3 linked regions of the Tamandua tetradactyla genome follow. The protein of the gene in region 1 binds, or shares a complex with, the protein of each later gene. Links are inferred from orthologs where the notes say so. Each region holds a gene or a part of one and is shown in the gene's direction. Other genes may lie near its edges.

The links. Proteins that work in one complex are often made in the same cells at the same time.
Region 2: the proteins of tubulin alpha-1B chain (region 1) and CAMSAP1 are in contact, whole or in part, in a cryo-EM structure (PDB 6QUS), measured with the Homo sapiens proteins. The link is inferred for Tamandua tetradactyla from reciprocal best matches to the Homo sapiens genes TUBA1B and CAMSAP1. Residues at the interface, in NP_006073.2 of Homo sapiens: Lys112, Glu113, Asp116, Val409, Gly410, Glu411, Gly412, Glu415; in NP_056262.3 of Homo sapiens: Ser1471, Ser1472, Lys1473, Lys1557, Ile1568, Pro1569, Ala1570, Ser1574, Val1575, Ser1576.
Region 3: the proteins of tubulin alpha-1B chain (region 1) and MATCAP1 are in contact, whole or in part, in a cryo-EM structure (PDB 7Z6S), measured with the Homo sapiens proteins. The link is inferred for Tamandua tetradactyla from reciprocal best matches to the Homo sapiens genes TUBA1B and MATCAP1. Residues at the interface, in NP_006073.2 of Homo sapiens: Asp345, Trp346, Arg422, Glu423, Ala426, Ala427, Glu429, Lys430, Asp431, Glu433, Glu434, Val435, Gly436, Val437, Asp438, Ser439, Val440, Glu441; in NP_001035805.1 of Homo sapiens: Lys219, Cys220, Trp223, Val226, Arg227, Gly237, Glu238, Val239, Val240, Val241, Gln242, Leu243, Met253, Met254, Val255, Glu256, Asn257, Ser258, Arg259, Pro260, Thr261.

The regions. Positions count from the first base shown.
Region 1 is NC_135333.1:110,001,191-110,008,615, reverse strand, and holds the start of tubulin alpha-1B chain, read left to right. Parts: upstream 1-4,422; 5' UTR 4,423-4,554; coding exon 4,555-4,557; intron 4,558-5,826; coding exon 5,827-6,049; intron 6,050-6,188; coding exon 6,189-6,337; intron 6,338-6,667; coding exon 6,668-7,425. UniProt on the Homo sapiens protein: Tubulin is the major constituent of microtubules, protein filaments consisting of alpha- and beta-tubulin heterodimers. Microtubules grow by the addition of GTP-tubulin dimers to the microtubule end, where a stabilizing cap forms.
Region 2 is NC_135328.1:125,414,087-125,421,033, reverse strand, and holds the start of CAMSAP1 (calmodulin-regulated spectrin-associated protein 1), read left to right. Parts: upstream 1-3,946; 5' UTR 3,947-4,033; intron 4,034-4,290; coding exon 4,291-4,453; intron 4,454-6,947. UniProt on the Homo sapiens protein: Key microtubule-organizing protein that specifically binds the minus-end of non-centrosomal microtubules and regulates their dynamics and organization. Specifically recognizes growing microtubule minus-ends and stabilizes microtubules.
Region 3 is NC_135342.1:60,877,073-60,884,367, reverse strand, and holds the start of MATCAP1 (microtubule-associated tyrosine carboxypeptidase 1), read left to right. Parts: upstream 1-4,294; 5' UTR 4,295-4,451; intron 4,452-4,558; exon of another isoform or gene 4,559-4,944; intron 4,945-4,950; exon of another isoform or gene 4,951-5,069; intron 5,070-5,281; exon of another isoform or gene 5,282-5,395; intron 5,396-6,196; 5' UTR 6,197-6,372; intron 6,373-7,047; 5' UTR 7,048-7,103; coding exon 7,104-7,295. Other genes in the region: EXOC3L1 (exocyst complex component 3-like protein), read left to right, coding at 438-1,050, 1,130-1,247, 1,375-1,500, 1,601-1,701, 1,912-2,022, 2,766-2,895, 3,012-3,134, 3,218-3,373 and 2 more. UniProt on the Homo sapiens protein: Tyrosine carboxypeptidase that removes the C-terminal tyrosine residue of alpha-tubulin, thereby regulating microtubule dynamics and function. Also able to remove the C-terminal phenylalanine residue of alpha-tubulin TUBA8.

The DNA.
Region 1 (7,425 bases):
ACCTCTTCTTTTAATCTACATTTTCTCCCTAGATGATTTCATCTAGTCTCTTTAGTGATGATCCCTATGTTTATCTCCAGCATGACTTCTTCTCTGCATTTAGTCGACTGCCTAAAAAGCATCTCTACTCGCTTCTCTAACACACAGCATCTCAATACACCCAAAATTCATTTTTTTGTTCTCTCCATCCCCTCATACCTGTTCCTCTACAGCACTTTTCAAGGCAAAAATCTTGGAGACATGGACTCCTCTCTTTCTTACTCATTCCATATCCAACCCATTAATAAATCCTGTCAGCTCTACCTTCAAAAGTATCTTGAAACCCACCACTTTTTATTACCTCCACTACTACCACCCTGGTCTAAGCCACCATCATCTCTTATCTGCACTACTATAAGTCATCATCATTTCTTATGTATACCCTTATATAAGTCATCTTCCTCCTTTCTCCTATAGTTTATTCACACAGTAACTAATTCTAAAATGTAAGATAGATGATGCCATACCTTTGCTCAAAACCATCTAATCTCTTCCCATCATTTTTAGAATAAAGCACAAAGTCTTTCCATTGCCATTAAGACCTTTACATGATCTATCCTGATACTTCTCTCATTTCATTTCATATAACACTGTCCCCTTCACTTACTCTGCTCTGGTCTCACTGACCTTCTTGATATTTCTTTAAAAAGACAAGCACACTCAACCTCAGAGCCTTTGCACTTGATGCCATTCCCTCTGCTTTAAATGTCTACTACATCACTTTATTCAGGTTTTATCACTTTATTCAAGTCTTTGCTCAAATAACTGCCTCCTTAGAGAGGCTTTCCCAGAGCACCCTATATAAAATTGCACTCCTCTGTAACTCTCATCTCTCTCCCATACTTTTTTTTATGGTACCTAATCACCACTACCTAACATCATAATTCATACCTCTTTGCTATATGTTCATTTTCTTTATTCTTCATTAGAATATAAACTCCATGAGGGCAAAGACTTATTTTGTTCACTACCATACCTATCCAACACTTAAAAGGCTGTCAATAAATATTTGTCCAACAAATTAATAACAATAGAAGCTATATTGTTTTCTATATACCATGAATGCTTTCCAGTCTTTACCCTACTTAAGATTTCTGCAGCACCTTCTTGAAACTCTCTCTTTCCTTGGATTGTTAGACCCCCAGTTCTCCCACTCTAATCATTCCTTCTCATACTCCCTTTATGGGTTTCTTTTCTCTACTTTAAATGTGGCCATTCTTCAGAGTCCTCTACTAAGGCCAGGTTTCCTACTTTGAGGTTCTCTATTAAGGCCACCACTTTCTTAGAGCTACACATTCTCCCTGAATGCATCTCTATAATTTTCTTTCCATTTCCTTAAGATTTTAAATTGGATCCAGGCATTATATCCTCATGGGACACTTCTAAATCAGAAAGTAAGGAGAAGGAGTAAAATAAAAGGGTTTTCCTCAAGGGAGCATTCTCCTTTTATTAAGGAGAATCACTCTGAGAAACTCCCTAGAAGACTTCCCTTCATGTCCCCTTGGCCAGAACTGGGTCCAAAGGCAAAAGACACTGAGAAAGCAAGCGTCTGGCAAAGGTAACTGGATTGCCTGATTCATCCGCTGGGACTGAGCACATGAATGCCCTTTAATAAAATTAGGATTCTACCTGGTAAAACAGAATGGGAGAAGGTGGTTTAGGAAGGGCTACCAAGATTGACTTTCACAAAAATAGATATATTTTTGCCCTCTAGTTATGAGAGAAACTTTAAAGAAATAAATGCATAAACAAGATAATTTCAGATTCTATAAGAATTGTAAAATAATAGGATGATATGATAAAGAGTAGTGGGTATATTTTGATACAAAGCTGACATAATTTACTAATAACCTTGAATGTCACAGTATAAGAAAAAGAAAGATGATTTCAAGCTACTATTGATTTCCATTCACAAATGAAGTTCAAGAAAGTTAATTAAGGGCCTAAAGTCACACCATTACTAACCAGCAAAGTCAGAATTTAATACAGTCATATCTTAAATTAAAACCCATATTCTTTTCCTATCCCATCTATCTGTGGAAAAAGCAGAACACAAAATGCATATATATATTGATAACACTGGAAATAAATAAGAATGAAAGGCCAAATATTGTGAAGAACAGTTGTTAAATTGTTGCTATTTGTTATTGTTGTATTTCCCTTTAAAGCTAGTTAAATGAACAAAATATTTTGTGAACTCCTGTGTTTAACCACAATAGGGAACAAAAATAGTTACTGACTCATTAGAACAGTAGCAAATGGCCATGATATTATGTAGCAAAGATGGAAATGGCTCGGATTGCAACAAAGGGTTTCCCACTACATAAAAGTTTAAAAGCAAATAGTTAGGGCTCCAAAAGACTCCAACAAAACAAAGACCTACATAATCAATTAAAAGGTAAGTGATGGATAATAACATGTTCATGCTCCAGTCATTATGTGGTTATTAAATATGGACAAGGTGTATTCATGCATATATAATATAAATAAATAGATCCATATAGGTTTAGTATGTAAAAAAGAAAAAAATGTCAGGTTTTTCTTTCAGGCACTAAAAAGCTATGAAAATAAATTAATTTAGTACCATTCAATGTTTTTCTGGCATTGAGAAACCAGACTTGATTATGTTTAAAGGTCCATTTTGGCTATATTTCTCTGTGAAGCCTGAGCTTTCATTAGGGACCTAAAAAAAATCTAAAATACTTCCTTATCCACAACAGGGGAATACACAGATAACAAGGCTAGCAAAGCTAATGGTTTTAGGACGGTATCTGGGGAGACTTATAGGCCCACAGGAGCAAATTTCTGCAGTAAAAGCTCTGATATTCTGCAGAGAGCTAGGACGAGGGTGGTGCCTGCTTTCAAATGGCTTTCATCCAGAGCAGTTGTCAAAATGGAGTTTAGCTGGGTGGTTCCCCAGCAGTCATTCTTCCAGTCAAAGCAAACTATTTTCTGTATCCTTTTAAGAATAAGGAAGAAAGGGAGGAAGGAATGCCTTAGAGCAATACCCAAATATATTCCTGTCCCCTCTAAGCCAGTTTGGAAAATGTGTACAAATTTGGATTCTGAGTCAAAAACCTTTTAATATGGCTATGAAAAACATTTACCAGAAATAAATGAGAACCTTCTTGTTTGTGTGCCAGGCTCATATGGGTGAATATATACATTAATATCCTTACAAAATATACACAAGTGAATTTGTCTGAAACGAAGGGTGGAGGCTTTACCAAATCTGAATGAGGTGATAACTGAGTATGAACTAGGACTTTTTATTGCCTTCTGTTTTACCTTTTTGTTACTGATCATTGGAGGATTCTTTGAATAGCTCATCTAACAACAACTACAGTACTAGCACTGTACTAGTTGTACTAGTACGATTTTAAAGCCACACCTTAACCCTAACCACCTTCTGAATTTCCAAGGGTTAATAATATAGTTCATGGTCTTGGAATAGTTTCTCCTAAAAAAACAAAACAGAATAACAACAAAAAAACCAGTCCATTCGTTTCTCAAGCTCTAATCAACTGATCTATCTTGAGGTAACATGAAGCAGTCTTATTTACAAAACTCTAAAAAGCATAAAATATCCCTACTTCCTCTTATCCTTCATTGTCAGACAATTTCCTCTACACCCAAGTTTTTGTCCTACTTCCTCAATTCAGCTTTCAAAAGTGAAACGTGTCTTTAAATCTCCTTTTTTAAATGCTCCTAGACTGCTCCATAAAGGTGGTGGCTTTAAGTTTGAAAATGGGCCCTATTCTACCCTTTTAACAGCATCAGTATTCAATCCTTATGTACCATTCTTCGAATCACCGAAATTGTATTCGCTTCGAGTCTTTGGTGCCCTTAGTTTAAAAAACAAGCCGCTACAGTAAATCAAATAAATCTATTACGTTTCCTAAACCTCGCGTCCTCTCCATTATCAAGTAAACATAGAATGCTCTGCCTCTAAAGGAACTAAGAAAAAAGCAAACTCACTGACAAACTGGTAACATGGAAATAATCAGCTAAGCTATCCGGATCGGAAGTTTCCGCATTTTATAACGCATGATTTTGAAAATTGTATGGACTTCTCTTAGGAGGCATCCGAATTGAAGAAAGCCTCCCTTCTCATTCCCGTGCTGGCTCACTTCCTAGTCTGTGGCCGCCCCTCCCCCCCCCATCCTCCGCCTGGGCCCTGGCAGCCATGCGCCACAGACTGCAGCACTCGGACTCGCGGTCCGCAGGCGCCGAGGACTCCGCCGGGTGGGGCCTGTGAGGGGAGGAGGCACCCGACTCGGACTCCGCCCCTGCGGCGGCAGCGCCGGGTGCCGAGTGGGCGCGCTGGGCCGGAGGAGGGGCCCGCGGCCGCAGTACCGCCCATGCCCGCCTCCCTCCCTGCGCAGCTACTTAAGCGGCTCCGGCGCACTCCCCCTCCCTCAGTGCGTTACTTACCTCGACTCTTAGCTTGTCGGGGACGGTAACCGGGACCCGGTGACTCCTCCTGTCGTCTTTGCCTTCGAACCCGTAGCCACCATGGTAAGTGAGCCGCGCACGGCGCCGCTCTCCCTCGAAAAAAAGAGGAAAATCGAGCTGGGAAGACAGGGAGGCCCTCTAGCTACCGAAAGGGTGGGGACCAACGCCGGATATACCAAAAGAAAAAAGCAAGGCGTTAGAGTGACGGTGAAGTAGATGAAAACACGGTTTGTAGAGGTCGGTTGGAACCGGGGAAGAGGAGCCGCCCAGTTTTCTCGAATTTTGCGAGCGGATGGCCGGGCGCGGGCTCTCCTGTGGTTGGGTTGTTTTTCAGTCTCTAACGCCTAGGCGCGGCGTCTCGGCTCCAGTTCAAGACGCAGCCATCTTTTCCCGCGCGCCCTCATACCCCATTTCTTCCCCCGCCTTTGGCGGGCGCGCGCCGGGTCTCCTCGCCCTCAGTTCTCAGCGCCAAAAGCGGGGGCGGGAAAGAGACAAAGGCGCACGCGCGACCGTTACTTTCCCGCCAGTGAGCGGCGGGAAACAGCCGCTGAGATTCGCGCGCGTGCGCACTGGGGTGGAGTAGGAACCGAGGTTTTGCGGCTGGAGGGCGTGTCTCCTTTACTTTAGCTGAGAACAATTCCATGTCCGTGGAGCGGGGTTCTTAGTGTACTATATTACTCCAGTGCAGTAGGAAACTGCATTCTGTAGGGCCCACCTGCCCCTCCCTAGCTTTCCTGCTATGTTAGGAATGCCTGTGGTAACAGGTGGTGGCCATGAGGGATTTTGAGGGAACAGAAATTGGATCTTAGTCCGGATCTGGGCTGATGATAATCCCCTGACAGATGTGGAAGTGCTGGGCTAAGCCCAACGCCCGCGGAAAGGGGAAGATGGGTGGTTACATAGCCATTGCGGGCCTCTGCAGCTGCGCGGCCCCTGCTGCCGCACGGGGGCGCGGAATTGCGCACCCAAAATTGCTCATTCATCCTGAGCCGCAGAGCCCCGCCCATCATCCCTCCTGCAGCACATTTCCTCTGCACTACTCTGGCTACGTATTTCCTGCACTGGGAGCTATCGGGAAATCTGGCCACCTAGCTTGAAGTGGAAGCTTGGTGCCTGGGCGCTAGACCGATGACCTCCTATTCTTTATGGTACAAAAGAAGGAGCTGTGACTAAGCTCTCTTGGTCTGGAAAAGGGTCTTCTCAAATAAGGGGCTGGCTGTTAAAATAATGTAGATTAAAAAATATAACCCTTCTCACCTACAAACAAGAATTTATTATACAAGAAACTTGTAAAGACTAATCAATTCTGATTTTTTCCCCCCCTTTCCACAGCGTGAGTGCATCTCTATCCACGTCGGCCAGGCTGGTGTCCAGATTGGCAATGCCTGCTGGGAGCTCTACTGCCTGGAACACGGCATCCAGCCCGATGGCCAGATGCCAAGTGACAAGACCATTGGCGGAGGAGATGACTCCTTCAACACCTTCTTCAGTGAGACAGGCGCCGGCAAGCATGTGCCCAGGGCAGTGTTTGTAGATCTGGAACCCACAGTCATTGGTGAGTGGAACTCAGTAACCTGAGTGAGATTGCAGGAGTCTGGGACAGGTCTGTTCTGGGGGCTCCATTTATGCCCCCAAGGTTAAGTAGGCTTGTGCAGGTTGTTAGTAATGGGTGGTGCTTTGTTTTCCTTTTCCAGATGAAGTCCGCACTGGCACCTACCGCCAGCTCTTCCACCCTGAGCAGCTCATCACAGGCAAGGAAGATGCTGCCAATAACTATGCCCGCGGGCACTACACCATTGGCAAGGAGATCATTGACCTTGTCTTGGACAGAATTCGCAAACTGGTAAATACCATATGTAAATATATTTTCAGTGGGATGGGAGGATTCTGTTGCAAATTTGAAAGACAAAATACAGCATTCATTCTTTGAAAAGGATGGTCACTATATATTAATTGGGTTTCTAAACCAGATAGTCCCTGGGTTTTGGGCACCACTCTGGGTTGTGTGTATCCTGCCAATTTCTCATGTTTGATCAGTAGAGAGCATTAGATTGATGGCTATATATTTTTATATTGTGATTTAAAATTTAAACCATGTTTTTGAATTTTAAAATAATGCTGAAATACTAAGAAAATGTGACCTGGTGTTGATTTTTTCTTTCTTTTCCTATAGGCCGACCAGTGCACAGGTCTTCAGGGCTTCTTGGTTTTCCACAGCTTTGGTGGGGGAACCGGTTCTGGGTTCACCTCCCTGCTGATGGAACGTCTCTCTGTCGATTACGGCAAGAAGTCCAAATTGGAGTTCTCCATTTACCCAGCCCCTCAGGTCTCCACGGCTGTAGTTGAGCCCTACAACTCCATCCTCACCACCCACACCACCCTAGAGCACTCAGATTGTGCCTTCATGGTAGACAATGAGGCCATCTATGACATCTGTCGTAGAAACCTTGATATTGAGCGCCCAACCTACACCAATCTTAATCGCCTTATTAGCCAGATCGTGTCCTCCATCACTGCTTCCCTCAGGTTTGATGGTGCCCTGAATGTGGATCTGACAGAATTCCAGACCAACCTGGTTCCCTATCCCCGCATCCACTTTCCTCTGGCCACATATGCCCCCGTCATCTCTGCTGAGAAAGCCTACCATGAACAGCTTTCTGTAGCAGAGATTACCAATGCTTGCTTTGAGCCAGCCAACCAGATGGTGAAATGTGACCCTCGCCACGGTAAGTACATGGCTTGCTGCCTGCTGTACCGTGGTGATGTGGTTCCCAAAGATGTCAATGCTGCCATTGCCACCATCAAGACCAAGCGCAGCATCCAGTTTGTGGATTGGTGTCCCACTGGCTTCAAGGTTGGCATTAATTACCAGCCTCCCACTGTGGTACCTGGTGGTGACCTGGCCAAGGTCCAGCGAGCTGTGTGCATGCT
Region 2 (6,947 bases), on another chromosome or scaffold:
CTCTTTTAAAGGATTCCAGTAAACTAATCAAGACTCACCTGGAATGGGTGGAGTTACATCAAAGGTTAATATGCAGAATTGGGTGTGTCACATCTCCCTGGAGATAAATCGAATCAAGCTTCCAATCTAAAGTACTGAATAGGGATTAAAAGAAATGGCTGCCTCCACAAGATGGATCAGGATTAAAACATGGCTTTTTTAGGGTACATAATCCTTTCAAACCAGTACAGCACGTCTTACACCCTTACATAAAAATTAACTCTGAGTGGACCAAAGACATAAATGTAAGGGCCAGTACCATAAAACGTTAAGAGAAAACATAGGGAAACATCTTCAAATCCTAATAATAGGAGGTAGTTTCATGAACTTCACACCCAAAGCACAAGCAACAAAAGATAAAATAGATAAATGGGAGCCCCTCAGAATCAAAAGCTTCTGGGACTCAAAGGATTTTGTCAAAAAGGTGAAGAGGCAGCCAACTCAATAGGAAAAATTATTTGGAAACCATACATCAGATAAAAGTTTGATATCCCACGTACATGAAGAGATCATACAACTTAACAACCAAAGAATATAACCAATTCTAAAATGGTCTAAAGATACGAATAGGCATTTTTCCAAAGAGCAAATACAGATGACTAAAAAGCACATGAACAGATGCTCATCTTCCTTAGCTACAAGGGAAATGCAAATTAAAACTACGAGATACCACCTCACACCTATAAAAATGCCTGCTATTGAACACACAGGAAACTACAAATGTTGGAGAGGATATGGAGAAATGGAAACATTTACTCACTGCTGCTGCAAATGTATAGTGGTGCAGCCACTATGGAAGACAGTTTGGTGATTCCTCAGAAAACTAAATATTGAGTTGTCCTATGACACGGCAATACCAATAGTCGGTATATACCCAGAAGAGCTGAGGGCAGTGACATGAACAGACATTTGAACACTGATGTTCATAGCCAAACATCACTGTTCACAATTGCCAAAAAATGGAAACAATCCAAGTGCCTATTAACGGAAAAGTGGATAAACAAAATGTAGTATTTCCATATGATGGAATATTATGCAGCAGTAAGACCAAATGAGGTCCCAAAGCCCATGACAACGTGGATGGACTTGGAGGACATAATGCTGAGTGAAATAAGCCAGACACAAAAGGACACATACTGTCTGATCTCGATATTGTGACTCAGGTGAAGATGACAATGTCAGGGCCCAGGTGAGCCGAACGAGTTCCTCTGAAAACAAGGCCAAGAAGTGGAAAGTCGGTGCAGCTTGCTCTGATATTTTGCTCTGGTGTGGTCTGGACAAAGATTTTGGGGACATATGGGGAATGTGGTGCTCTCCTGACCACATGACCCTCCCTCCTCCCCCTTCTTCTCCTCCTCCTCTCTCCCTTCTTTTCTCTCTTTCTTTTTCTTCCCTCTTTCCTTCCCTAAAATAAAATGAAAAAAAAAATTATTTTAGCACTTACACTAATGGGAAAATAACATGGTAGAATGCAGAAATATGAAAGGCGACTTCAAATAACTTTTTCTCTTGTGATAGCCTATATCAGGTAATGTCCCCTAAACCCACAAAGAAATAAACATACAATTATAGAGACCCTCAGAGAGCTTTTGTTTATGTAGATTATATCTATTGATATTTATCCTAGTAGGAATTAAAAACAAAAATTTAAAATATTTATGAAGTAACTTAAAAAATAATAAATACATTGCAAAAAAAAAAAAAAAGAATAATGCAAAGCTAACATCATACTTAATCGTGAAGGAATAGCTGATTTTCCGGAGCTCAGAACCAAGATAGAGACAGGTGCTTTCATTTCTTGTATTCTGCACTGTCCTGGAGGTTCTGTCCAGAGCAATTAGGCAAGAAAATGAAACAAAAAGGCAACCAGATTGGAAAGGAAGAGGTGAACTATCTTTATTTGCAAAGGACTTGCCCTTGTATGTAGAAACTCCTCCTAATCCACTGAAAAAACCATTAGAACTAATAAATGAGCTCAGCAATTTTGCAGGATACACAGTCAACATAAAAAAAAACCTTGGAATCATTGTGGACACCTTTTTCTCACATCCAAGCTGTCCACCTCTCCCGACAACTCTCCCTCCAACATAGATCCAGCGCCCACCCCAGGCCCAGTATGGCCACCTTGGACCTGAGGCATTTGAACTCCCACCCCCAAGCCGGTCCTCGCCTTCACTCTTGCCCTCCCTACAACATGTTCTTCTCCCAGGACCCAGAGGATCCTCGTCAAGGGTCCATCACATCGGAAACCCTCCTGCCTAATCCCCCAACACCAAGGAAAGGGCAAAGTTCTCACTGGGCGAGATCTGCCGCCACCAAGTCCCCCCACCCCCACCCCATTTCCTCCTGGTTTCTCCCTGTTGGGTTCCAGTTTCAGGGGTCTCCTCCGTATGCCAGGCAGACTCCCACTCAGGAGCTTTGCATCCTTGCCTAAGCTCCACTTTCCCAGGTATCCTCACACTGCCCCTCGTTTACTCCAGGTCTTCTTTGCTCAGAGATGCCTCCCTTAAGGTTTTCCTTCCCTACCCTGTCCTCCGCGTTCCTCCTTCACCTTTTATTTCCCCTCCATAGCTCCCACTGTTTAATGCAGTATATATTCTGTTTTCTCGCCTTACTAGAATGCCAGCCCCACAGGGAGGGCAGAGAATTGATTTCATTCACTGCTATGCTCCTGTGCACAAGAGTAGTATTTTTGCACAGTGGCTGAGCCCTCTGAGCTTTAGATGCTTCAGAAGTGGTGAAGAGAGGTTAGTGGAATTCTCAACCCGGAGGCTGAGGGTAAGCCGGCCCCACTGTCAGGGCTCCTTACACTGAGGTGTGCGTTTCTGGAGCCCACGCAGACGGCCATGTGCATACAAGGGCTCCCAGCGTCAGTGTAATTACAGTTAGGAACCTGACACGGGCCCTTGGGTGCGGATTTTATTAGTTCGCAGCCAGCGCCTCTTCTGCACTGGCCTCGAAGGATGCCGATATTTGTCCCTTGTTCCAAGCTCCCCACTCCATGGCCCGGCTGAGTGGGCAGTGGGCCGGTCCGCTCAGGGCGCTTCTGGACCGCGCACCTAGGGGCCTAGAGCGCTCTCGGGGCGGGGTCCTCGGGTCCAAAGCGCTGCGCCGGAGGGGAGGTGTCAGGTTCCAAGCGCTGCGTCGGGTGTGGGAGGATGCCTGGGCTCCGAGCGCTGCACTTGGGGGGTGGGGGTCCCTGGCTTCAAGGGGTGCTCAGGGGATGTAGGGGTCTCGGGCTGCTCTCGGTGTGTAGGGTCCCTGGGTTCCAAGCTCTGCTCAGAGGGATTCCCAAGCTCCGACCGCCTTTCGGGGTAGTGGGTGCCTGGGCTCGGAGCGCTGCTCTTGGGAGAAGGGTTCTCGGGTTTTAAGCTCTGCTCCAGGGTGCGCGGGTCTCGGGACTGCTCCTGGGTGGGGGACAGCGGGCTCCAGGAGCTCCCGCCCACCCGGGCCGCTGCATTCCGAGGTTGCTGTCGGCCCGCGGCAAGGGGCCGGGATCGCGCGGTACCCCGGGGCGGCCCAGGCCCTCCAGGAGCGCAGGGGTCTCTCGGGCTCGGCCCCGTCAGACGGCGGCAGCTGGGGGTCGGCCTTGGCCCGGACATCCCCAACTCCCGGGAGGGCGCGGCAGGGCGCAGACAATGGAACGCCGGGAGCTCCGCGGGAATCGGTCCACAGCCACGACCCCCAGCCGGCTCCCGGCTAGCAGCCTCAGCGCTTGCGGGAAGGGGCGGGAGGGGGCGGGGCGAGGGTCGAAGCCGCGCCCACTGCGCCTGCGCAGGCGTCGCGGCGTCGCGCGCGCTCCCCGCCGTTGTCCGCGAACCTTCAGAGCCGCCGTCCTCGCCTGGCAGCGCCGGGACCGCGCCCGCGCCCCCGCCCGCCCGCGCGCCCGCCCGCCATCGCCGCCTGCCTGGGCCCTGTCCCTGCCCGCGCCTCAGGTCTCGGCCCTGCAGCATGAGGCAGCCGCGGCGGCGGCGGCGGCGGCGGCGGCTCTGAGGTGAGGCCGGAGCGGCGCGGGCGGGCGGGCAGGTGGGCCCGACAGGTGAACCAGCGCGCGCGGCCTCCTCGCCTGCACCTGGGCCCCGCTGGGAGGGCGGTGCGGACCGGCAGGTGGACCGGCGCGCGCGGCCTCCTCGCTTGCATCTGGGCCCCGCCGGGAGGGCGGCGCGGCCGGCCGGGCCTTTGTTGCGGCCGCGGGCTGGGTCGGGGGAGAGGAGGCCGCGCGCACCGCAGCCCGGCCCTTTTTGTCTGCAGATGGTGGACGCCGGGGGCTGCTCGGCGGGAGAGGGCGCCTGGAGGAAGATGGAGGCTCCGCCGGACGGTGCCGTGGACATCGTGCCGCTGGACCGCTACGACTCGGCCAGGGCCAAGATCGCCGCCAACCTCCAGTGGATCTGCGCCAAGGCCTATGGCCTAGGTGGGCCGCGCCCGGGACGGGCCGGGGTCGGGAAGGGCGGGGCGGGCCTTTGTGCCGAGTCCGACCGCGCCGTCGGTGGCGACGGGCACCGTCTGGAGATGACAGGCTTCCTCGAGGGATGACAGGCCCGGTCCTCGGCTGACGGGCACCGTCGGGGAATAATGACAGGCCCGGTCCGGTGCTGACGGGCATAGTTGGCGGGGAGAGGGTTGATGGGCACCATCCGGGGCTACGTGCATGGGGGCTGAGTGGCACCGTCGGGGACTGGCATTCACCGTCCCGGGCTACAGGCACCGTCGGAGGCTGATGGACAGCGTCCCGCGCTACGGGCACCGTCCTGGGCTATGGGTACCTTCCGAGGCCGACACCGGGTTCTGGAGGCAGCGCCGGGTTAGCGCGGGCCAGTGCGAATGTGTCTCCTCCCATGTCCTGGTCCTCTGTACACCTTGGTGTGGCCTGGGGAGAGCATGGGGTCCCTAGCTCTGCTCTCCAACTCCCTGGGTGCGCTCCTGTTTCAGGAATGTCCTGGAACCTTTAGCGGCCATGCAAGGCATGGGGCTTTCGTCTGGAGTGCAGGGCAGGTGATGTTGGGGGTGCTCAGGGCTGTGGTCTAGAAGCTTCTCTGACTTGCACGGGTGGGGGGGGGGCACTAGAGGATGGTAAGGCATGCATCAGTCGTCAAACCCTTGATTCGGGAGCCATTCGCTGACGGAATTTGGTACTTAAATTAGAAAACATGAGTTGTGAATCCCCCAACTGGAAATTACTTTCTAAATGGATTGTGTGCAATCATAATGGTCATCTTTGGTTGATACCAGTTTTGGAGAACTGGGTGACCTTGTTATTGAGTCCAGTTTGTAAGGTCCTGATATTCTTAGTGGATTACGACTCTGTCATTTCATGCTCTCAGAGCTTTACAAATCAAGTGCTTCTCATAGTTAAATTATAATCAAATTTATGGAATAACTTCAGGTGCTTTGTTTTTGGTACAAAATTAAGGGTATTTGTGTAATCCTGCGTTTAATTTAAAGTTTGCATTCTAAGAAAACATTGCCTTTATTCTGATGAAAGCCTAAAAGAAGAGAGAGAACCCTTTCAGAAAAGAGTTTAGTTGACCAGTTTTGAAAGCTTGCTGAACAGGCATTTCCCTTGCGGCAGGGTTTCAGCAGTTGGAGCTGGTAGCCTGTGTCACAGCTAGACTTGAATTAGTCATAAGGACAAACACGTTTTGTAGGTTATAGGGATTAAACCCATTGCTTTAGTATTTTTTTTAAAACTTTTTTTTATTGTGAAAAATATTTATACATAAAAGCAATAAATTTCCAGGTACATTTTCACAAGTAATTATACCTCAGATTTTAAAGTTTGGTATGGGTTACAATTCCATGATTTTTCTTTTTTTCTTCTAGCTGCTCCAAGACACTGGAGATCAAAAGAAATATCAGTATACTGATTCAGCGGTCATATTCATTTTTTAAATTCTATCTTCTTTAATATACTTTTCTTTCTCTGTTTTTTCCTTTTTGTGAAAGAAAACATATAAACACAAAGCAGTAGATTTCAAAGTACATTGCAACAATTAGTTGTAGAACAGATTTCAGAATTTGATATGGGTTACAATTCCACAATTTTAGGTTTTTATTTCTAGCTGCTCTAAGGTACTGGAGACTAAAAGAAATATCAGTATGCTGATTCAGCACTCACACTCATTTTTTAAACCCTATCTTTTCTGTATAACTCCTACATCACCTTTGATCTTCCTCTCACTCTTTAGGGGTATTTGGGCTATGGCCAGTCTAATTTTTTCATGTTGGAAGGGGCTGTTGATAATGTAGGGTAGGGGCATGGAACTAGTTGATGTTCTGGAGAGGCTGGCCTCTCTGCATTTCAGGACTTATCTGGTCCAGGGACCCATCTGGAGATTGTAGGTTTCTGGAATGTTGCCCTAGTGCATAGAACCTTTGTAGATTCTCGTATATGCCCTAAGTATTCTTTAGGATTGGCAGGAATGGTTTTGGTTGGGGTTTGGCAAGTTATGATAGCAGCAGTGTCTAACTGCAGCTTGTGTAAGAGTGACCTCCAGAGTAGCCTCTTGACTCTATTTGAACTCTCTCAGCCACTGAGAGAGTTTGTTGCACTTCTTTTCCCCCTTTTCGTCAGGATGACATTGTTGATCCCTTGGTACCCGAGCCAGACTCATCCCTGGGGGTCATCTCCCATGCTGCTAGGGAGACTTTCATCCCTGGATGTCATGTCCAATGTAGTGGGGAGGCAGTGGTTTCACTTACAGAATTGGGCTTAGAGAGCAAGCGAAAGAGGTCACATCTGAGCAACAAAAGAGGTCCTTGGGGAAGTGGCACTTAGGCATACATATAGGTAGGCTATGCTTCTTTGCTGCATACATGAGCTTCACAAGAGCAAGCCTCAAGATCAAGGGTTTGGCCTATTGATTTGGGTGTCCCTAATTTTTGATACAGTGTCTGGGTTTTCCCTG
Region 3 (7,295 bases), on another chromosome or scaffold:
GATCAAGGGGCTGGGGCACTAGGTGGGGATCACATGGAGGGACACACCAGGAACCTCCCAGGGTTCAAATGACATGTGAAGCATATGTAATTCAGTTCATCCTGGGTTTTCCAAGCATGGGTTGTCTGAATTAGGACTGATACACAGGCACCCTGGTTACAGTGAACTATTTTCCTAACAGGGTGGGTGAAAAGCCATTTGTGTGGTCCCTAACTTCTTCTGGAATCCCTGACTTCCTCTTGTTCCATCAGCCCAAGGGTCCACACATGGTCCACCAGGCTTCTAGAATTTCACTTGTGCCCTTCCAATGGGCCAGTGTTCCACCGTACTGATTATTAACATTTACATATCACCCCAGCCCAGGTCTCCTCACCTGCTGCACCTGTTGCACAGGTATTAACTCTGAGACCAGGGCTGTCTCCTGTGTTCTTCATTAGTGCCTGCTGCAGTGACCCACACACAGTCCCTGATTGATGCCCAGCAACTCCTCGAGGCATATGTGAGCCTGCGGGAGCTGGAGCAGCTGAGAGAGGAGACCTGGGCACACCTAGGGGACCTGGAGTTGCCAGATCTTGAGGGGCTAGGCCCTCTGGCTGAGGCACTGGGCCAGGCTGTGGAGATGGTTGCAGGAACTGCAGGACAGCTGGCCCGGGAGGACCCTGCCCTGCTGGTGGCTGCTGTGCGCGTGGCTGAGGTGGAGACTAGACGCACAACTGCCTTGGGGCAGGCCCCCCGGAACTGGCGGCAGCGCTGTCTGCAGGCTCTACAGGACGGCCTGGAGCGGGTCCACTTTGGGACACATCTACTGCCTGGGCCAGGTGCCCTAGCAGAGTGGCTGGAGGCTCTGCAGGTGGCACTGCCAGCCGAGTTGGCCACAGCTGAGGCATTAGTAGCACCCTGCTGCCCACCGCACTACAAGGTGGTCCAGCTATGGGCTCATACCCTGCACAGAGGCCTGCGTCGCAGCCTGCAGCAGGTCCTTGCAGGGCCTGAGCTGGGTGCTGCTGACGCCTTCACCCTTCTGCATTGGGCCCTGCATGTGTACCTGGGGTCAGTGCCCTGAGGGCAGCGGGAAGTGGGTGGATTGGAGACTGGGGACTCATTATGACCCCCAGCTACCCATCTTCAGGCCAGAAATGATGGGGAGTCTGGAGTTAGGGCCAGAGGCTGATGTGTCTCAGCTGGAGCCCCTACTGTCCCTGGAGGATGTGGAGTGGCTGGAGACAACGTTTGTGGCCAAAGTCCAGGTGAGTGGTTGGGGCATGGGTCCAGAGCAGCCCTGATCATTAGTTGTAGGTTTTTGTCTGTACAGTCACTGTCTCTGGCAAGGTCAGTGCGTTGCTACCTCCTGCTGCTTCTTACCCCTTTCCCCAGGCAAGTGTGGCCCAGTGGCTGCAGAAGGCACTGGATGGGGAGGTAGCCAAGTGGGGCCAGGAACAGGAGCCAGACATGGACCCATCCGGCTTCTACTACTCACCAATGCCAGCCATCGTGCTGCAGGTGGGTGGGGGGTGGCCAGGCAGGTGGACAGCCCAGATGGGGAAAGGGGAGGAGGGCAAGGCTATGGGCTTTGCTGATGGCTGCCCATCCCTCCCTGTAGATCCTGGATGAGAACATTCGTGTGACCAGTCTGGTCAGTGAGTCACTGCAGCGGCGGGTATACAGCATGGCACTGTCAGAACTGGGTGCATTCCTGAGGAGGTCTGCCAAGACACTGACCCACTCCCCACCCCCAACCCTGCATCCAGGGAAGACCAAAGGGGCTCATAGTGACATGACACACCAATAAGAAAGGGCACCTTCACACTGGGCCTTGGGTATCTTGGAGGTGGGGCAGGAGTGCCAGGGACTGGGGTCACTCTGGGACACCAGAATGATCACAGATACTGGAGCCACCTCTGCCCACTTCAGCTTCAGTGATGCTCTGATTCGATTCTCCCGAGACCATCTCAGGGGTGAAGCAATGGCCCCTCACTACGTGCCCTACCTACTGGCTGCCCTCAACCACCATTCAGCACTCAGGTACCAGGAGGTTTACACGGAAGACCACCTTCATCTCCTCTTCCCCAGCACCTTTTATGTATGTATCCAGCCCACGCTAGGCCAGTAGGGACTGTAAACTCACATAGCCTCAGGTTCCAATCCTAGCTCTGCTAATTAATAGCTGCAACCTTGGGCAAATTATCTAATCTCTTTGAATCTCAGTTTTCTCATTAGTACTATGTGGGTAATAATTAATGTTCTGAGAAGCACATGAGATAACAGATGTACCTACCACAGTGCCTGGCATAAAGTAGTGCTCAATTAATTATTTGTTCGACAAATATGTATCTAGGTCCAGCTCCGTGCCAGGTAATGTCTGGGATTACAGCTATGAACAAAGCAGAAAAATTCCCTTCCTGTTGGGTCTTATGCTCATTGTGGCGGATGGGTGAGCAGGGAGGTCAGACCAGTTAGTGATTTTTACCGGCTCTTGAGTTTAACTCCCTCCCCTTACGGATGAGAATCAGGAACCTAAAGACACGACTTGCCCAAGGTCACACCTCGAGTTAGAGGCAGGTCGGGTTGGGGCTGAGCCCCTTTGAGCTATCCTTCGCCACCACTCGCAGCCTCAGTTCAGGCCTCTGCCCTTCAGAAGTGCAGGGAGAAGCCGGTTCGCCTCCTCACACCACATACATGCGCCACTAGGTGGCGCCCGATTGGCTGGACAATCGGACCCTGCGGGCCTTGGCCTTGGTCCTGAAGCCTTATTTTTCGTCGGTCAGCTCCTCACTGCCGGCCCTGCAGCCCGACGGGGTGGCTTCAGGGGCCTTGGCACCTTTGGAAACCGCCCTGGACGAGTTGCAGAGGAGGATCTACCGCCTGGTGCTGGAGGTGCTGCTGGTGGAGCTCCAGGTGAGGCTTCAGTGGGGATGGAGGTGGGAGGTGAAGCACATGTTGGAGGGTCTCTGCGGGGAGTGCCGGATCTGGATCGTTCCCCCAGCCCCCCTGCGCCCCCTCCCCGCCCCCAGCCCCTGTTTGCGGGTCTGCCCTCGCGTCAGTGGCTGTCGAGCTCTGATCTACTGGACTCTATATGCGAGCGGACAGCGCTTTTCTGCCGGGATTTCTGGCGCGTGCGATGTCCTACCGTCCAGGTGCGGATGGAGGCGGGAAGGGGTGGGAGGCACGTCGCGGGTGAAAACGGCGACCTGAACTGGCCTGATCACCCTCCCGGCAGCTGCTGCTGGCCGAGGCCGAGCGCACCGTGGTGCTGCAGTATCTACACGCGCTAATGCAAGGCCGCCTAGTATGCCGCTACTCCGATGAGCGGACCCAGGCGGCCGAGCGCCTGCGACAAGATGCCGCCCAGCTTCAGGAGCTCTTCCTCGGTTTGGTGAGGGCGCGGGGTGGGGGGTCGGGGGAGAAGGGGGCGGGTGGGTGCATGGGGATCTCGGGTGGTTGGATGGGGGGCGGGTGCGAGACCCTACCCGACGTGCGCAGGGCCTGCAGGAGAACGCGCAGTGCACACCGGTGCTGCTCGCTCTGCGGGAGCTGCTGAACCTCCGCGACCCCACGCTGCTCAGCCTGGAAGTGGCAGGCTTGCGGCAACAATTTCCCGACGTGAGGTGCGAGCCTGAGGTGGGGAGGGAGGAGGAGCCGTGGAGGGACTAGTCTGACGCGCTTCCTTGGTGCCCCCGCAGCGAAGATCACATCTCCGCCCTCCTGGACCTACGCGGGGACGTGTCCCGAGAGCAGCGCCTGGCCGCCCTCAGCTCCCTGCAGGCCGGCCCGCCGCCCTCGCCCCTAGCTGGCCGCCACGCACTCTTCAGCCTCGTGGCCGCGCCTACGCCCGCGCAGTCCTCCTGCCTCCCGTCGGGGCCCTGTGCTTGATGCCCGGCGGCCCGCGGTATAAAGCCACAGCTCCCGCGCGCCTGGATCTATGTGTGCTGGGGAAGGGGGAAAGAATTAAAAGTGCCCGCGAAGGGTAAGGGGTCCACGCACATTGACACCTCTAAGGTATCCTGGCTCCTGACTGCGCCTCCACCTGTCCGAGCATCGACCCCGTGTGTGAAGTGTGTTCCCAAGTTCCCGAACCCTTGCCCCTCTGCGCGGACTACGCCCCCAATATCCCGTGCAGGGTCGGAGAGCCTCAGTAGCTTCCGCCCTGCAGAGGGCCGGGTCGCACCGGGAGCCCTGAAACAGCCCTAGCTCTCGCTGAGGGGGCGGACCTAGGAGGAATTCCCCGCCCATGGGCGTGGCCGATATGAGGGCACCGCCCCCTTGGCCTCGCTTTGCCCTGCGCCGGGCTGTGGTCTCGGGAGCGCGCCGCCAAGAAGGCTGACGTGAACCCGCGCGCCTTCGTGTAGGCAGGCGTGCGCCCGAGTGCGTGCGTTGCCGGCGTCGGCTCCCGCGGACTGGGCGGGCAGCTACCGGCATCGCAGAGCGGGAACGGCGGACAAAAGAGCTGACAGGTGGGGGGGCGCGGCACGCGACGGGACACCTCAGAGAGAGGACGAGTGGGCGCGCGACGCGGTCCTTCCTCATCTAGCACAGAACCCCTCCATTGTCCTCCGGCCCCGCCCTCCATTGGCCCCGCCCTTCACCCATCCGTCGCCATTTATTGGCTGCGGGTCACGCCCCTCCACGATCTCTACCCTTATTGGCCCTTCTTCCACGTTATCCTCTTCCCGGGTCTCATTGGTGCAGGCCACGCCCTCTCATTTGTCAGCAGATCCCGCCTTCGGTAATTGGAGGCTCCTCCCCCTTCCGTCCGTTCATTCATTCTGCATCTAATGTTGGGTGCTTGGGAAATGGGGGCGAATCAGACCCCTCCCTGCCCTTGGGGAATTCAGCGGATGGTGGGGAGACACGGACGCAGGCTCCGGCAGTGACAGTCCGAGGCGGTGGAGAAGCCCGCTTAGGCACTGGGGAACCTCTAGACGCCGGGAAGGCTCCCGGATGGAGGTGAGGCCTGAACTGAGCCCTGAAGGATGGTTAGGAGTTTGCTCCAGGGAGACATTGGGAGGGCGTTCCTGGTGGAAGGACCTCAGACATGAAAGAAACAGGTGTATGCTGGTGATTGCAAGGAGGTAGGTTAAATGAAAGAAGGGGACATGGAGAGGACTGCTCCAGATATGGGGGGGGGGGGGGCGTGTCCAGTAAAGTGCCCAGTTAGTTGAAGGTGGTAAGTTGAAGCCTTTTCAAGTAGCTGGTCACTAGGCTGTGGGTGTGGGTATGGATGACATACTGAGGGGGACAATTAGGCTTGATGGAACAAGGTACAGGGGAAGAAATTATTCTGAGAAAGAGAAGGACTCCTGAGTTGCTTTATTGAGCAACCCCTCTGGGTCAGGCACTGCTCTGGGTTCTGAGGACACAGCTGGGTTCTGAGTGAACACTGGAGACGAGGAAACAGGTAACTATCAAACACATGTCCTTCAGATGATGATAACCGCTACGGAGAAAAATAAGGCAGGGAAGAGGAGACAATGGTAGAGGAAGGAGGAAAGTTACTATTTTATAGGGGGTGTGTTCAGGAAGGCTTTTCTAATAACGATAATTTGTGTGAAGATGTGAAGAAAGTGAAGGAGTGACCCAGGCACTTGAAGTGGGGAAAGCATTCCAGGAAGGGGACTTGTTCGGTTTGAGAAGCCCGTGATATAGTCAAGTGAAGATGTTGCATTGAAAACTGGCAACACTGGTTTGAAGTTTATGGAAGAAGTCTGGGCTGATGTATTTTAAAGCCATGAGAGTGGAGGAGGTCACAGGGGGAGTGAGTATAAATGGGGGAGAGGAGAGAAAAGTTTCCATATACAATTCTGGGGTCCTTACTGTGTTAGGAGGTCGGAAAGATAGGGATGAACCAGCAAGGGAGACCAAGGAGAAAGAGCCAATGAAGTAGGAGGAGAACCAAGTTAAAGTGTTCCGGAAGCCAAGTAAACAAAGTGTTTCTAGGAGGAAGTGATTACCTGTATCAGGTATTGCTGCTGAATATGAACACCATTGGTGACCTTGATCAGATCAACCTGCACAGAGAGTGGGGGACAGTAAAAGCTTAATTGGAGCATATGTAAGAGAGAACAGGAAAGAAGGAACTGGACAGAGTGTGGACAGCTCTTGAGGAGTTGTGTTGCAATGAGGAGCAGTTGGAGGGACATTCAGTGGGCAAAGCTGGAGAAGTGTGGGGCCAAATGAGGGTTTTGTTTTATCTTTTAAGATGGAGAAATAACAGCATATGTTTATACTGATGGAAATAATCCAGTAGAAAGGAAGAAATTGATGATGTAGGAGAAAGAAATGCTGGCAGGCAAAAGATTGGCTCAGAGGCTGGAGCCTTCAGTCAGTCTCTGGGGAGAGACTGGATTGGACTGAGTCCTGGCACAGAGTCAAGGGGTGAGTGTCCCCACATTGGCCTTGGATGATCCCTGGGAAGATGCCTCAGGGGGGTGAACTTCAGATAGAGGGGCAGGCCAGGGAGTGGCTGGGATTTGCTGAAATTTCCTCCCACCTCCCCAAAAGCTGATTCTAATTTGGACTTAAAGAGATGGTCCAGAGGAGAGAGGGCATTCCAGGTGGAGGGGCTAGCATAAGCAAAGGCCACTCAGGCAAGCACGGGATGGATGGGAGGAGGTGGGCGGAGCCAGGTGGGAGGGGAGAGGTGGGGCTGAGAAGATGCCATAAGCCCTGAGGCAGCTGAGGCCCTTCACCAGCCATCCATCCACGCAGCTCAGGCTGCACCATACCAGCTTCCAGACATGGTGGGTGCTGAGGAGCCATTAGAACCATGAGTAGGGAGACAGTCCTGCCTGCAGGAGCTCACAGACTGAGGGGATTCCAGTAACCACCATCTGGGTTGGTGTACAAGACCATTCCTCCTGCTTTCCCCTAGCTCAGCCTGCTTGGATGGGCCTGCAGGAGGGGAGGGATGCTGGGCTGAGGGTGGGGGACAGTCACTCAGACCCCTGGCAGCAGGCCCTGAGCGCAGCAAGATAGTGCAGAGCACAGGGCCTGCTGGTCCTCAGGCCACACCACTCACACTGGCCTTTACACGCCCTTCTGTGTCCCCAGAGGTCAACAGTGAGGGGAGTTGGAGTGACATAGCTGAATGTGACCCCCAGGACAGAATGGTGCTGGACTCAGAGACCCAAGTGTTTGAGCGGGCACCCCCCAGCCCACCTGCCAGTCCCCTGTCCCTGCGCAACAGCTTGAAGCATTCAGACCGAGATGGGCCACCGCTGTACCCCTGGCCTCGGTCCCTGGCCTTGCCCCTGGCTCTGTCAGTCTCCTCAGCCGTGCAGCACCGGCCTGAGCTGCAG